Linked DNA regions of Drosophila melanogaster. The protein of the gene in region 1 purifies or fractionates together with the protein of each later gene. This does not show direct contact. Each region holds a gene or a part of one and is shown in the gene's direction. Other genes may lie near its edges.

Evidence for each region. The genes of interacting proteins can lie anywhere in the genome.
Region 2: the proteins of Cp110 (region 1) and Klp10A purify together in Drosophila melanogaster (affinity purification with western blotting; one study listed by BioGRID). This does not show direct contact.

Annotation. Positions count from the first base shown.
Region 1 is NC_004354.4:22,480,765-22,487,965, forward strand, and holds Cp110 (centriolar coiled coil protein 110kDa), read left to right. Parts: upstream 1-1,630; 5' UTR 1,631-1,776; exon of another isoform or gene 1,777-1,900; 5' UTR 1,901-1,972; coding exon 1,973-1,986; intron 1,987-2,074; coding exon of another isoform or gene 2,075-2,077; coding exon 2,078-2,258; intron 2,259-2,322; coding exon 2,323-3,762; intron 3,763-4,472; coding exon of another isoform or gene 4,473-4,487; exon of another isoform or gene 4,488-4,637; coding exon 4,638-4,871; exon of another isoform or gene 4,872-4,982; intron 4,983-5,178; coding exon 5,179-5,310; 3' UTR 5,311-5,320; exon of another isoform or gene 5,321-5,356; intron 5,357-6,293; 3' UTR 6,294-6,694; downstream 6,695-7,201. Other genes in the region: l(1)G0196 (lethal (1) G0196), read left to right, coding at 6,903-7,025.
Region 2 is NC_004354.4:11,134,118-11,139,075, reverse strand, and holds the start of Klp10A (Kinesin-like protein at 10A), read left to right. Parts: upstream 1-1,957; 5' UTR 1,958-2,209; intron 2,210-2,297; exon of another isoform or gene 2,298-2,980; 5' UTR 2,981-3,159; coding exon 3,160-4,196; intron 4,197-4,958. Other genes in the region: CDK2AP1 (CDK2-associated protein 1), read right to left, coding at 174-1,019. UniProt on the Drosophila melanogaster protein: Required during anaphase to drive sister chromatid separation to promote flux by actively depolymerizing kinetochore microtubules at their pole-associated minus ends, thereby moving chromatids through a 'poleward flux'.

The DNA of each region.
Region 1 (7,201 bases):
TTACCGTTATGCCAGGTTCTGGGTCAGCTGTGCGCATGGGCAGAGTAACTGTTTTCGGTTTGCTCTCTTTGCTTTCGTCCTTCCCCTCTTTTATACCATCACTATGATTGCTCTTTGTTGAAAATCCGCGACTACTGCGTAGAAAATAAAATAACAATATTTATATGTAACTGTTGCATGAGCATTATTTCGGATACATGGCAATTTACCAAAATGTTTTTGTCATGTTTTTCTGGCTTTTGAGGCCCTGTCTCACTCACACAAGCGCACTTGTTTTCACAAACGTATACCGATTAAGAACAAAAAAAAACTCCGTAGTTCAGCATGGAAAAGGTGTCATTGGAACTGCGACTTTTCCACCAGTGATTAACCATTTAATTCGAAATACTTATTTCATCAACTTATTCCCTTGTTTTTCATAATTTATTGTCGCCGCCGTTGCTGTTGTTGTTGCTGTTTGCTGCTTGGCTTACCGGCTGTGTGCGAGTGAGACAGCAATGCAGCGTGGGAGAGGACGAAAGCAAGCATGTGGAAGAGAAACAGAGAGCGAAGCGCGTGGAAAAGTTGTAATAATAATAATAAGAACGGAGCCAAACACTAACGCCCAACTGAGCAGCAACAACAGCAACTACAGCCATACAAAACGTAAAAAACACCAAGTTGTTTGGCCTTCGATGTCTTTTTCAATTGCGTCGCAGAATGAAACACAAAAAAAAAAACAATACAGAAACACCACACTCAGCGTGTGTATGCATATGTACACATATATGTGCGAAACTTTGCGCTTTTTGTTTTTGTTTTCCTTACACTTTTACCGTATTTTTATAAAGGAAAGGGGCTAGGAATAAAGTTAGGGGTAAAAATTACTTGTATTCTACTTAAAAAACAAAGCTGATACTGTTGAAAAAAAATTGCACTCCCATCTCACGCACACACACACGACTGCATCTACAATGCAACTTTAAAGAGAGAAATCTGGAGCAATATAAACCGCAAATAGTTCATATTTGAAGTACAAACTCAGTTTTGCGGACGTTCTTTGCAAAAACGGTTTTAGATCGTTTTGTAACTAGATAACACACACACATAACATATGCAAACAGAAGTTACGAACACAACATATCGACAAGCTGTAATAGAACTCGCATACTTTTCGCTATAGCTGGTGACTTTCGAAAATATTATGTTGACTCCCGAATTCCAGGCAAATTCGATCGCGCCAGAGCAACAATCAGCGCAAAAAAACACATCCAGTGAATGTGACCGCGCGCACGGCGAAGGAAAATACCATCCGGCGCAAATCAAATACCAAAATGTACCACACCAGTTTCGATAACCACCTAGTAAACTGTTGAATTCGGCCAGCTGTTTCAAATTAGTTTGTTAAGAACCAATAAAAGTTAAGTTTTCGCAGACAATGTTTCTTTAATTTTGACAAGATTTTGAAGCATACGAAATATACAATATAAGTTCCTGAACACTAATTTAATCCACCGTTTTCTTTACTATAATTCTGGAAGGACTGAAAACTTGTTCCTCTGCTAATCTGTGGAGTCCTCAAATTTTCTCTAAAAACGCTACTTCCAAAAGTCCGGTTATCGATATCTGACGTCAGGGCTGCATGGACTTCGTGTGAGTTTTGAATTGCCGTTTGAAAATAAATGTTTTCCCCAGCATTAAAGCAGCATTTCTCATTGGCTCTTGATGGTAGCTGCGATCCACGGTAGAAACATTGAATACAAAACTCTCAACGATTCGGGATATCATTTGATTGATGTAATGAACTCTTCAGAGGTTTCCTAATTTTTGGCGGGAAGTCGAGGGCTCCCTAGTGCCATCGTCATCTCTAATGGCAACTAAAACATAGCAGACATTTAATGAACTTTCACAAAACACCTAGATTCAGCTGACCTCTGAGAAGGCTTCCTGACATTTCGACGTCCCAACAAAAATTCCCAGTAGCAAAACACCAATGGATGCGACGTGGTGAGTGGGTCTTGGGATTTTATGAATCCCGGTTGCTTACGGGCTTCTAATTACTGATTTTGCTCAATCTAATGCTTCTCCAATTAAGCAGGGCAATGGAGCAGCTGCTGTCTGCAGTTGAGATGGGAGGTAGCCACAGCGAGGCCACCACACCAACGGCCACGACCACCATATCGATCTGGAGCGCCCCCTCCGAGGGCAGTGGCTCTAGTTCCATGGACCCTGTCTCCTTTCGGTTCCACTTGGACGGGCAGCCTATACTGCCACCGCTGGTGATTTAAATTCTTGGTCAGGGAGTGGCATTTACTGAGGCGTAACCATTTTACTTTGTTCCAGATGACGAGCGCCAAGAAGCGCGAGGTGCAGCTGGCCCGCCAGATGGCAGAAGCGCTGGAGAAGCGGTACCGCCTGGCCAGACACTCGGCGGGATCCGACATGGCCAGTAGGAGAAGTGTGTCACAGCTGCAGCAGACAGAAACGTTAATCTATGACAGCACACGGGGCCAGGCTCGTCCTCAGACTCTGGTCTTTGGCAAACAGTTGCCCACCATACAGGTGGATCCTCCCACGCCTCAACCATTTGTGAAATCAATAGAAAACACTTCCCCAAGGCGGCATAATCGCATTACCGATCGTATCCTGCAGTTCGAGCAGTCGGGACTGGGTAAGCTGCTGCCCAAAGTTCCAGATAAGTGTATCCTGCGCACAAGTCCTGCGGTAGCCGAAGACCAGCAGGATCAGGATACAAAGGACACAACGGCAAGGGAGCTCGGCAGTCCACTGGCAGAACCAGCTAATTTTCAGCGTTCGAGAAGTTTCACACTAGAGGAGCCCTCCCAGGTTCTCGTGGAGCACATGGAGAGGGAGGCCCTGGCTGTGAAACCCAGCCAGAGTTTGGCCAACTTCGAGAAGCAGACCATCGAGTCTCAGGCCAAGCGGGTGAACCGTAGTGCAAGGAGTATTAGCAGCAAAATTAGCCACAACAGCTACAATAGCAACAGTAGCGCCGCAACCAAGAGCACCATCGCCACTAAAACCACAACCGCCGGCAGCAGCTGTTCTAGGCGGGATCGCGAGGTGGAGCGTATAATAGAACGGGCGCTGGACGAGCATGGCGCTTTGGAAGCCAGCCGCAAGGCAGGAGTGCGCAACTATCTGCGTGGCCATCGGGAGCGAATGAATCAATTGGTCATTCACCAGGAGAAGGAACGTCGTCGCATGCAGGCCGAGTTTGATCATCAGCAGCGTCAGCTCATAGAGGAACTGTGTGCCGAAATTGATGTTTCCTCGGCCACCGAAAATCCTGACAGTCTGATATCGCAAAGCACCAGTACGGGAGACCTGCAGCGTTTTTCCCCCTCGCCTACGTTACCCTCCTTTTCAGAGGACATAGAAGACTTTCCGACGATGGAAGACAAGTGCCAAATTGCGGGGCCTTCTTCCGCTCGCAAGAGGCTGTTTAGTCCAAAACCATCAAAGGACTCGGAACCGCAGCTGCTCAGTGCCCCCAGCACACCGCGATCGTTGCCCCTCCGGAACAGCAGCTTAACCAATAGCAGACGAAGTGTCCAAGTTGTCCGGCGCCGATCGCAATCTGTGGGCGGTAGTCTAGTAAAAACAATCACCGCAGCAGACCGCGAGGTGAAGAAATCGCCAGCGAAGCCTGGAGGTGGAGCAGGACGACCGAAAAGTTCCCCGGGAAAAAATAGCTCCATTATAGCGAAAAGGGGAAGCGCCCCACCAAAAAGCGCCTCACCGACCAAGCGGCTGGGCAATGTAAGTTTTTCAAGCGAATCTGAGCGATATTTTATTTGCTTTAAGTCACAAAGGTTTTCATTTGTGCCAACCTAAGTTAGCAGCTAATTTGGTTGGACTCTTACTTTAAATCTCTGCTATTTGACCTTTCCTTTTATTTAACTAAAGCATTAACGATTTTTTATTTATGGTCCTCTATTTTTATACCCGTTACTCTTAGAGTAAAAGGGTATACTAGATTCGTTGAATAGTATGCTACAGGCAGAATGAATCGTTTCCGACCATATAAAGTATATATATTCTTGATCAGGATCTATAGCCGAGTCGGTCCGGCCATATCCGTCTGTTCGTATGAACGTCAAAATCTCAGGAACTATAAAAGCTTGAATATATGTTGGATATTTTTCACAATTTTATTAGACATGTACATTTCTATTGACATTTTTAATTAATTTTTAAATTTTTTCTCATTTTATTCCCAATTTTGTATCGATATCCCAGAAAAATTATGATGAAATTTCTAGTTTGCATATCCACTAGCTGAGTAACGGGTATCTGATAGCATTCTTTTTTGCTTTATATTGATATTGATATTGATATTCTTAGCATAATCACTTAATATAATAATTAGGTATTTTATCCCTAAAAAAGTGAAAACCTTGGCGATATAATCTGTAATATCTATTTCCTGTACTCCCATTCTATTATTTCCTCTTCCCCAACACAAACAGCGCAAGAAGCCCTAGCAATTCGGGTAGTCAGTTATGCAAGTGCCTTAACAAAGACTGCGAGGAAATCGAGGGACCAAGCCTCTAGCACCAGTAGCTAACCTAATTACTAACCCAACTAGCAAGTGCCTTCGTTCCCTGTTTAATTTCGCCTCTAATCCCTGCCAGAAATATGTCGAGCTGAAACAGGAAGAGCGCCAGTGGGCGGCCACACGTATTAATGCCGGTGTGCGAGGATTTTTGGTCCGCCGGCTTTTTGCAACCGAGCAAGTGCAGCGCATTGTCCAAACCATCAGAGACACCCTGATCTTCGTGTTGAACCTGCACCTGGAAACTTGTGGACATGGCCTGGATGCAGAGGAGCCTGCAAACTTGCGCCTCAAGGCGCGATTGCTTCAACAGGTGGGTTACTTGGTTACTTGTCTAGGTGTAAAAGGTGCCAAATGTGTACATTAGGCTTGGATGATAAAACTAGAAATTAATTATTATCTGAGTGAAGGGTATGCGATAGTCAAAAAACTCGACTGCAGTGTTACCTACTGTGCTTACATTGACTTTGGTTTAACTTTGAGTAAGCAAAACCAAAACTACTGGTATTTTAGAATAATTAATGCGATTTTATATAAATATTTGATTTGAAATTGCCTTGTTTGCAAACTTAATACAAGCTGACTACTTTTTCCTTTATATTCATTGAATTAACTCATAGCTCTGCTCCGCCAGTCGTACCCTGCACCTGATCTTCTTCCAGACCAACATAAAGGACCGCATGGAGATCATCGCTCGGGATCGCCAGAGGATCAAGACCAAACTACTCCTCAAACATCGCCGATTGGATTAGGATTTCATAGGTTAGATTGCTCGAATAAAGGAGGAAACGATAAACGAAGCATTCTTGTTTTAACTAAACACATTTTTATTAAGTTTAAGTTTTCTGGTTCCACTTTCTCTCTATACATTTTTACATTTTTGTACCCTTTTTGTACTCTACGAGTAAATGGGTATACTATATTCGTTGAAAAGTATGTAACAGATAGAAGAAAGCGTTTCCCATTATAAAAAGTATATATATTCTTGATCAGGATCGCTAGACGAGTCGATCTGGCCACGTCCGTCTGTCATTACGTCCGTATGAACGTCAGGATCTCAGAAACTATACAGGCTAGAATGTTCAGATTTATCATGCAGCTTCCAGAGACATAGACGCGATTTGCCAAAAAACTCTGCCACGCCCACTCTAACGCCTAAAAACAGCCAAAAGCTGTCAAGCCCACACTTTTGAAAAATGTTTTGTTTTTTCTACGTTTTTTTGCTTGTTTTGCCCATTTCTATCGATATATAATAAAAAAAAACTCCCAAAACGGCGTTTGGCCCACAGCGCCCACAACTCGAACCATTTACATATATATTTTTTCTCATTTTATTTCCCAACTTTGCGTTGGCATATTCATTAGCTGAGTAACGGGTATCTGATAGCCGACTATAGCAATCTCTCTTGTTATTATTTAATTTGTATTATGGAATATATATATTTGAGCTGAAATGGAAGAAAATATGTATATGTTAATACTTAAATATTAAGTATATTTTTAAATATTAAATATTAAAAAAATATTAAAATAATATAAAATTTAATGGGTAGATTCGGTAGTATCCTTAACTACATACACAAATTAATTCTTACGATTAATAAGCAATTCTAACAAACAAATATACATACTAGTCGCAATATTGAACTGAAATACATTTATATACTTATTTTTGGTTATATCTCTCTATTATCTTTTTAATACCTTTTAATACCTTTTCTTTCTTGATTTACAGAACAGCTGTTTGGCAAAAGCCCGCGTGATTTTTTGCAGCCAAGCTTTCAAGACATTGCGGAGCTTTCTAGACAAATTCGCCCTGAAAGCTGCGGCGGATTGCCAAAACAAACGGAACTTTTAAAGCGAGTAGTCGTGTGTGCGTGTGATGGCCTTAAAAGAAAACAGCAAAGGCAGACAAATAATCAAAAGCGAGAGAAAACTAGTTTAATAACAATTAATTATTAGTGAGCACGTAACCCACAGCAATTGGCCGACCTCCCGCTCATCCTGTTATTCACCCAGCTGCCCGCGTGCCTTGCCCACCCAATTCCATAATTCCGCCGGCGGCGAATTTAGAACGACACACCAAATTGAAAAAATAATAATACAAATAATAAAACCACACCAATAACAGATTTCGTAACTCGTAAATCGAAGGACAGTGAGAGAAAAAATCGTTAACAAAAATATAAGCGCACACTTATATTTTTAACACGCGGCAAAGTTGCGTGCGTGGGGGTGAGAGTGAAAAATGTAAAAACAGAATACGAAAAACGTTTCCCAGTGTTGTTGTTTGCTCCTTGTTTTGTTTGGATAACTCGCACTAACACCAACACAAAGGATTACCATGTCCTACACCGAGTTGGAATCAGGGTACCAGGATATATCCCAGCAGCATCAGCAGCAAAATCCGCATCAAAGTCAGCCGCAGCAGCGGGTCGGTTTCTACTTGGGATTACAGGATGGCAACGTATGCGCTCCACCGTTTTACCACTAAAATCTAGCGTAACCCACTAAAACACATAATTTTTTTTATTTGCATACTATATGTGCTATACATGCACGTATTTATTTTTAAAACAAGTCAAATCGATTTTTATTTAATTTTAAATAGTGTTTTATAAGAATGTGAAATATAAAATTATG
Region 2 (4,958 bases), about 11 Mb from region 1:
ATTGCTACACTTTAATGCTTAATTGGGACAAAATGGATCTTTGCGTTTGCTATATGTCCGTGTTTTTTTTTGTTTTTTTTGTTTGGGGGTAATTAACCTAGATGAGGCCGATCCTCGCCTCCTGGTCCATTTCACTCCGGGGTCGCCAGCTGCGGCGCCAGCGACTCCTCCTCTCATTGGCGCGCCGCACGCTCCGTTTCCATGAGGCATTCGCGCACCAGGATGCGGGCATGGACAATGCCCCGCTTGAGACGCTCCGTGGAGCTGCGCGAGCCCGTGTACGTGGGCCGGATATCGCGGCCCATCTCCTCAATGACGGCCAGCAGCTGGGCGTACTTGGTCAGCCCATTGCCCGGGCCCACTGAGGGCAGGCTGGCCGTGGAGGTCAGCGGCGTGGTGATATTGGCCGAAGTTTGGGTGGTCACCACCACGGGCGAGGTGGAGGGTGGCGGGTACTTTAGCTGCGATGAGCTCAGATTCAGGCCCATGCTCTGGCCATTGCTGCCAGAGGAGGTGGAGGAAACGCCGGCACCGGAATTCCGCTGACCACCATTGCTGGAGCACATGTTGGCCAGCGAGAGGGCCGCAGCGGCGACGGCTGCCGGCGTGGCCGTCGTGTTCGACTGCTGCTGGAGTAGCGCCAGCTGGGCCTGGAGGAACTGCGGGGAGTATTGGAGGGCAGCGACGGCGGCGGCAGCTGCTGCTGCATTGGCCGCTGCAGCGGAGCTCTGCTTGCTGGACGAGCTGCTGTAGTCGCTGGCGGAGGAGCGGTCCCGCTCCCGCTTGCCACCGCTGCTCGTGGAGTAGTCGGTGGCAGCGTTGGATGAGTTGGATCCGCCTCCTCCGCCAACGGATCCACGCGAGTGGTGGATGGCCGATATCTGGATTTGGGGCTGCTGCTCGCGCTGCTCCCGCTGCTGCTGGTAATTGTAGAAATTCTGCACTTGGCTGCGCGGTATCGGTGTCACCGTGACGTCACTCAGCTTGGACTCTACGGCCTGGATATCCATGATGTCCATGGTGGCGCTGGGCGATGTGGTGTCTGGAGTCGATATCCGTCGGTTGTTGTGGTAACTTAACTATGTCCACCTTTCCGTTTTCCTGGCACACAAAACTACTAGTTTTTAGCGTTTCTTTTTTGGTTTATTGTTTTTTGTGATATGATATCGATATCGATATCAGGAGGCGTTATTACGCTTTCCCTTCAACGCACAAACAAATACACCCCCACCAACAAAAGTCGATGGTTCGGATTATAGTATCGATAGACAAGCGCGATGCAAAGTGCCCACCTATTCGCGTCTCGAATGTGGGTGTTTCCACTGTACAAGCAATTTGTATACATGTGGAAAGCTCTTTGTCCAAATTGGTAAATGGCTAAATGTTTTTGAAAAAAAGATAATTAACAACCATAAAACTACAAGAAAATTACAAAATTTAACCCAAGTGCATATGTATACATGAATGACAAAACGGTAAAACCATGCAAATGAATAACCATCCACGTCGAATAATACCTAGTTCACCCTGATAAGGCACTCCCAATTTGTCTTATTAAACAGCTAATTTTGTTAGGGCTTAAAAATACCCAACGTTATGTATGTCTAGTGTTGTCTAGTTTCGGGGGGCGGAAAAGCCAATTGCACACAAATATACAAAGTATTGCCGAAACGTTGATTCTTTCAATAAATAAGGCACATTTTAATGAACTTATGCTTATGCCAACAAAAGCGGTCGCTTATTTTTATTACTTATTGATATAAATTCCAAAACAGCTGACATTTTTAACGGTTACTTTGCCTAGTGTTGGCCAAGACATCAATCTTAATAATAAACTCTCAAGTTGTCAAAATTATACTTGTATTTCTACTAAAAAGTCATAAATATACCCAAAAACTACTTAGCCAATAGTAACCCTGCTTAATATGGATTTTATTCACTTATTAACACGCCAATTGTCTCACTTTTCAAACACAACGGCTGATTGCCAGCACTGTTTGCGCTGCAGTCCAGTGCTGCGCAACGCGGCGGGGACAAAAAACAATGGCGAGGCGAAACTAAAAAATTGTGTTGCTGACATCTGGTCGCTTGCAAAACTATTTCTAGCAGATTTTGTGATATTTCGTTGTGATCGGTCGATAAATCCGCCAGTTTTTTTTTTAATGGAAAGTGCTAACACATTGTAGCGGTTGGGAAGATAGCAGGAAAGGTGAGCGAAAGGCAGAAGATTGCGAAAAATTCAATTAAATTTCCGCGACCGTCTGTTTTCTGCATCGGTGTGTGTTTGTGTTTGCTCGCAAGTGTGTGTGGGTGCTCTGTGTATGACGTAAAGCGATAAAGCAAACGCATTCCCCCCACTCCTTGCATATGTGTGTGTGTGCAAGTGTTGTGTTTCTCTCTCATCAGTTTTGCATCTAATTAGGAGCGGAAAGCATTGATTGGCTGCCAAACGCCGCGGTTTGTTGTTTTTTTCGCTGCATTTCGGCCAAAAGGCTTGCCGCAGCTGCATATGTGTCGCTATGTGTGTGTCAGTGTTGCACAGTGCCGCCAGTGCCCACAAAATGGGCGCACAACAACAAAAGCAGCAACTCGGTTGGGATTTTCGCGATCCTACGCTGGCTCGGAGCTCCCCTTTTCCTATTTCCAATTCCCAGCCAGCGGGCTGCCGTTTTTCCTTTTTGTTATCCGTTGCCAGACGCAACGAAAACGACAGTTGGCATTTGAATTCAGCACAAACACACATACTAACGCCGACCCGCAAGCAGCACACACACACACACTGGGACACTCGAAAAAAAAAAAACAGACGCTGTCGGCGACCTCGACAAGCAGTTGGGTTCGATTTAGTTGTCAATGCCTTGAATTCGGTTCGGGGCTTAGTTTCCACAAGTTTATCGCTCGTCAAGAAACAACGAAATAAAATTATTTTCGACCTAAAAAATCTGACTAAATTGTGTTTTTTGTTTATGTATTTATTTAGGCACATTTTGCACACCACAACGTAGTTACTACATCTACGACTAACGGAACTCCTCCTGCAAGCAGTGGAAGTTGCTGTCCATCAAGCAGTACTCGGAGTTAACGCAGGATAAGCCGGGAGAAAGAGAAAGAGATCGGTGGAGAATAGAGATATACAGGTGGAGTCAAAGAGGAAGGATCATGGACATGATTACGGTGGGGCAGAGCGTCAAGATCAAGCGGACGGATGGCCGCGTCCACATGGCCGTGGTGGCGGTGATCAACCAGTCGGGCAAGTGCATCACAGTCGAATGGTACGAGCGCGGCGAAACGAAGGGCAAGGAGGTAGAACTGGACGCCATACTCACGCTCAATCCGGAGCTAATGCAAGATACTGTCGAACAGCACGCCGCCCCGGAGCCCAAGAAACAAGCCACCGCGCCGATGAACCTCTCGCGTAATCCCACACAATCGGCTATCGGTGGCAATCTCACCAGCCGTATGACCATGGCCGGAAACATGCTGAACAAGATCCAGGAAAGCCAGTCGATTCCCAATCCGATTGTCAGCAGCAATAGCGTGAATACAAACAGCAACTCCAACACTACGGCCGGCGGAGGTGGTGGCACCACAACGTCGACGACCACTGGATTACAGCGTCCACGGTACTCGCAAGCTGCTACCGGCCAGCAGCAGACAAGGATCGCCTCGGCGGTGCCTAATAACACATTGCCCAATCCCAGCGCGGCAGCCAGTGCTGGTCCGGCGGCACAAGGAGTCGCCACTGCGGCCACAACCCAGGGAGCTGGCGGCGCTAGTACCCGGCGATCGCACGCATTGAAAGAGGTGGAGCGACTGAAGGAGAATCGCGAGAAGCGACGCGCCCGACAGGCCGAGATGAAGGAGGAGAAGGTGGCGCTGATGAACCAGGATCCGGGCAATCCAAACTGGGAGACGGCGCAAATGATACGCGAATATCAGAGCACGCTGGAATTTGTGCCGCTGCTCGATGGCCAGGCCGTCGATGACCATCAGATCACAGTGTGCGTGCGCAAGCGTCCCATTAGCCGCAAGGAGGTCAATCGCAAGGAGATCGATGTCATTTCGGTGCCGCGCAAGGACATGCTCATCGTGCACGAGCCGCGCAGCAAGGTCGACCTCACCAAGTTCCTGGAGAACCACAAGTTTCGCTTCGACTACGCCTTCAACGACACGTGCGACAATGCCATGGTATACAAGTGAGTATCCAATCCAAATAACAAGCTCCAAAACAACTCCATATATGGTCTGTTTGAATTACTAGTAGTGATTCTAAACAAACGCTCGATATGGTGACCACACATTCCAATGTCTTGGGGAGGCTTCTTCAATTACTAATGCGTATCCTTGCTAGCAAACGGCTTTATTTCAATTGAACTGAACTATAGAAAATCTTATTTCGTTATAGATGACCCTCTATAGCTATCATTCAATCTTAAACCTAATTTGTTGATGCAGTGGAATCATATATAGTATAAAGCAGCATATCCTTTAAAGAAATCATTGCCCCATTTATCAGATTTCCATCGAGTAACCAAATGTGCCAGTCACTTTTCGAGCTCGTTTCGTTGGCGCATCTCTGTTAGAGCGACCCATTGAGTCATGCCGACAGAGACGGCAACAGAGCCACACACATGCATCATGAAAGCGGTTGCTCCCGAAATAGCCAAGTTCGTTGAATGACTAACTTGGAAGCCCCAGACGCTTCACCTGCCCCCGCCCGGCCACTCCGTCCGCCGATCTGCACACGAGCTCTCTAAACCCAATTCTCCAGCGGAAGAGATTTCGAAAAAGTAACTGCCTTGTGGCCCGGCATTTGTCCATTAGCAATTGTTTGGCTTCAATTGAATTAAAGCTGCTACGGCTGCTGCTGCCCCTTTCCTTTCTCCGCCAACTTCTTGCTTAGCTTCTCTTTCCGGTTTTCGCACTCGTATGTATTGTGTGGCTGTCGGGAATTGGTA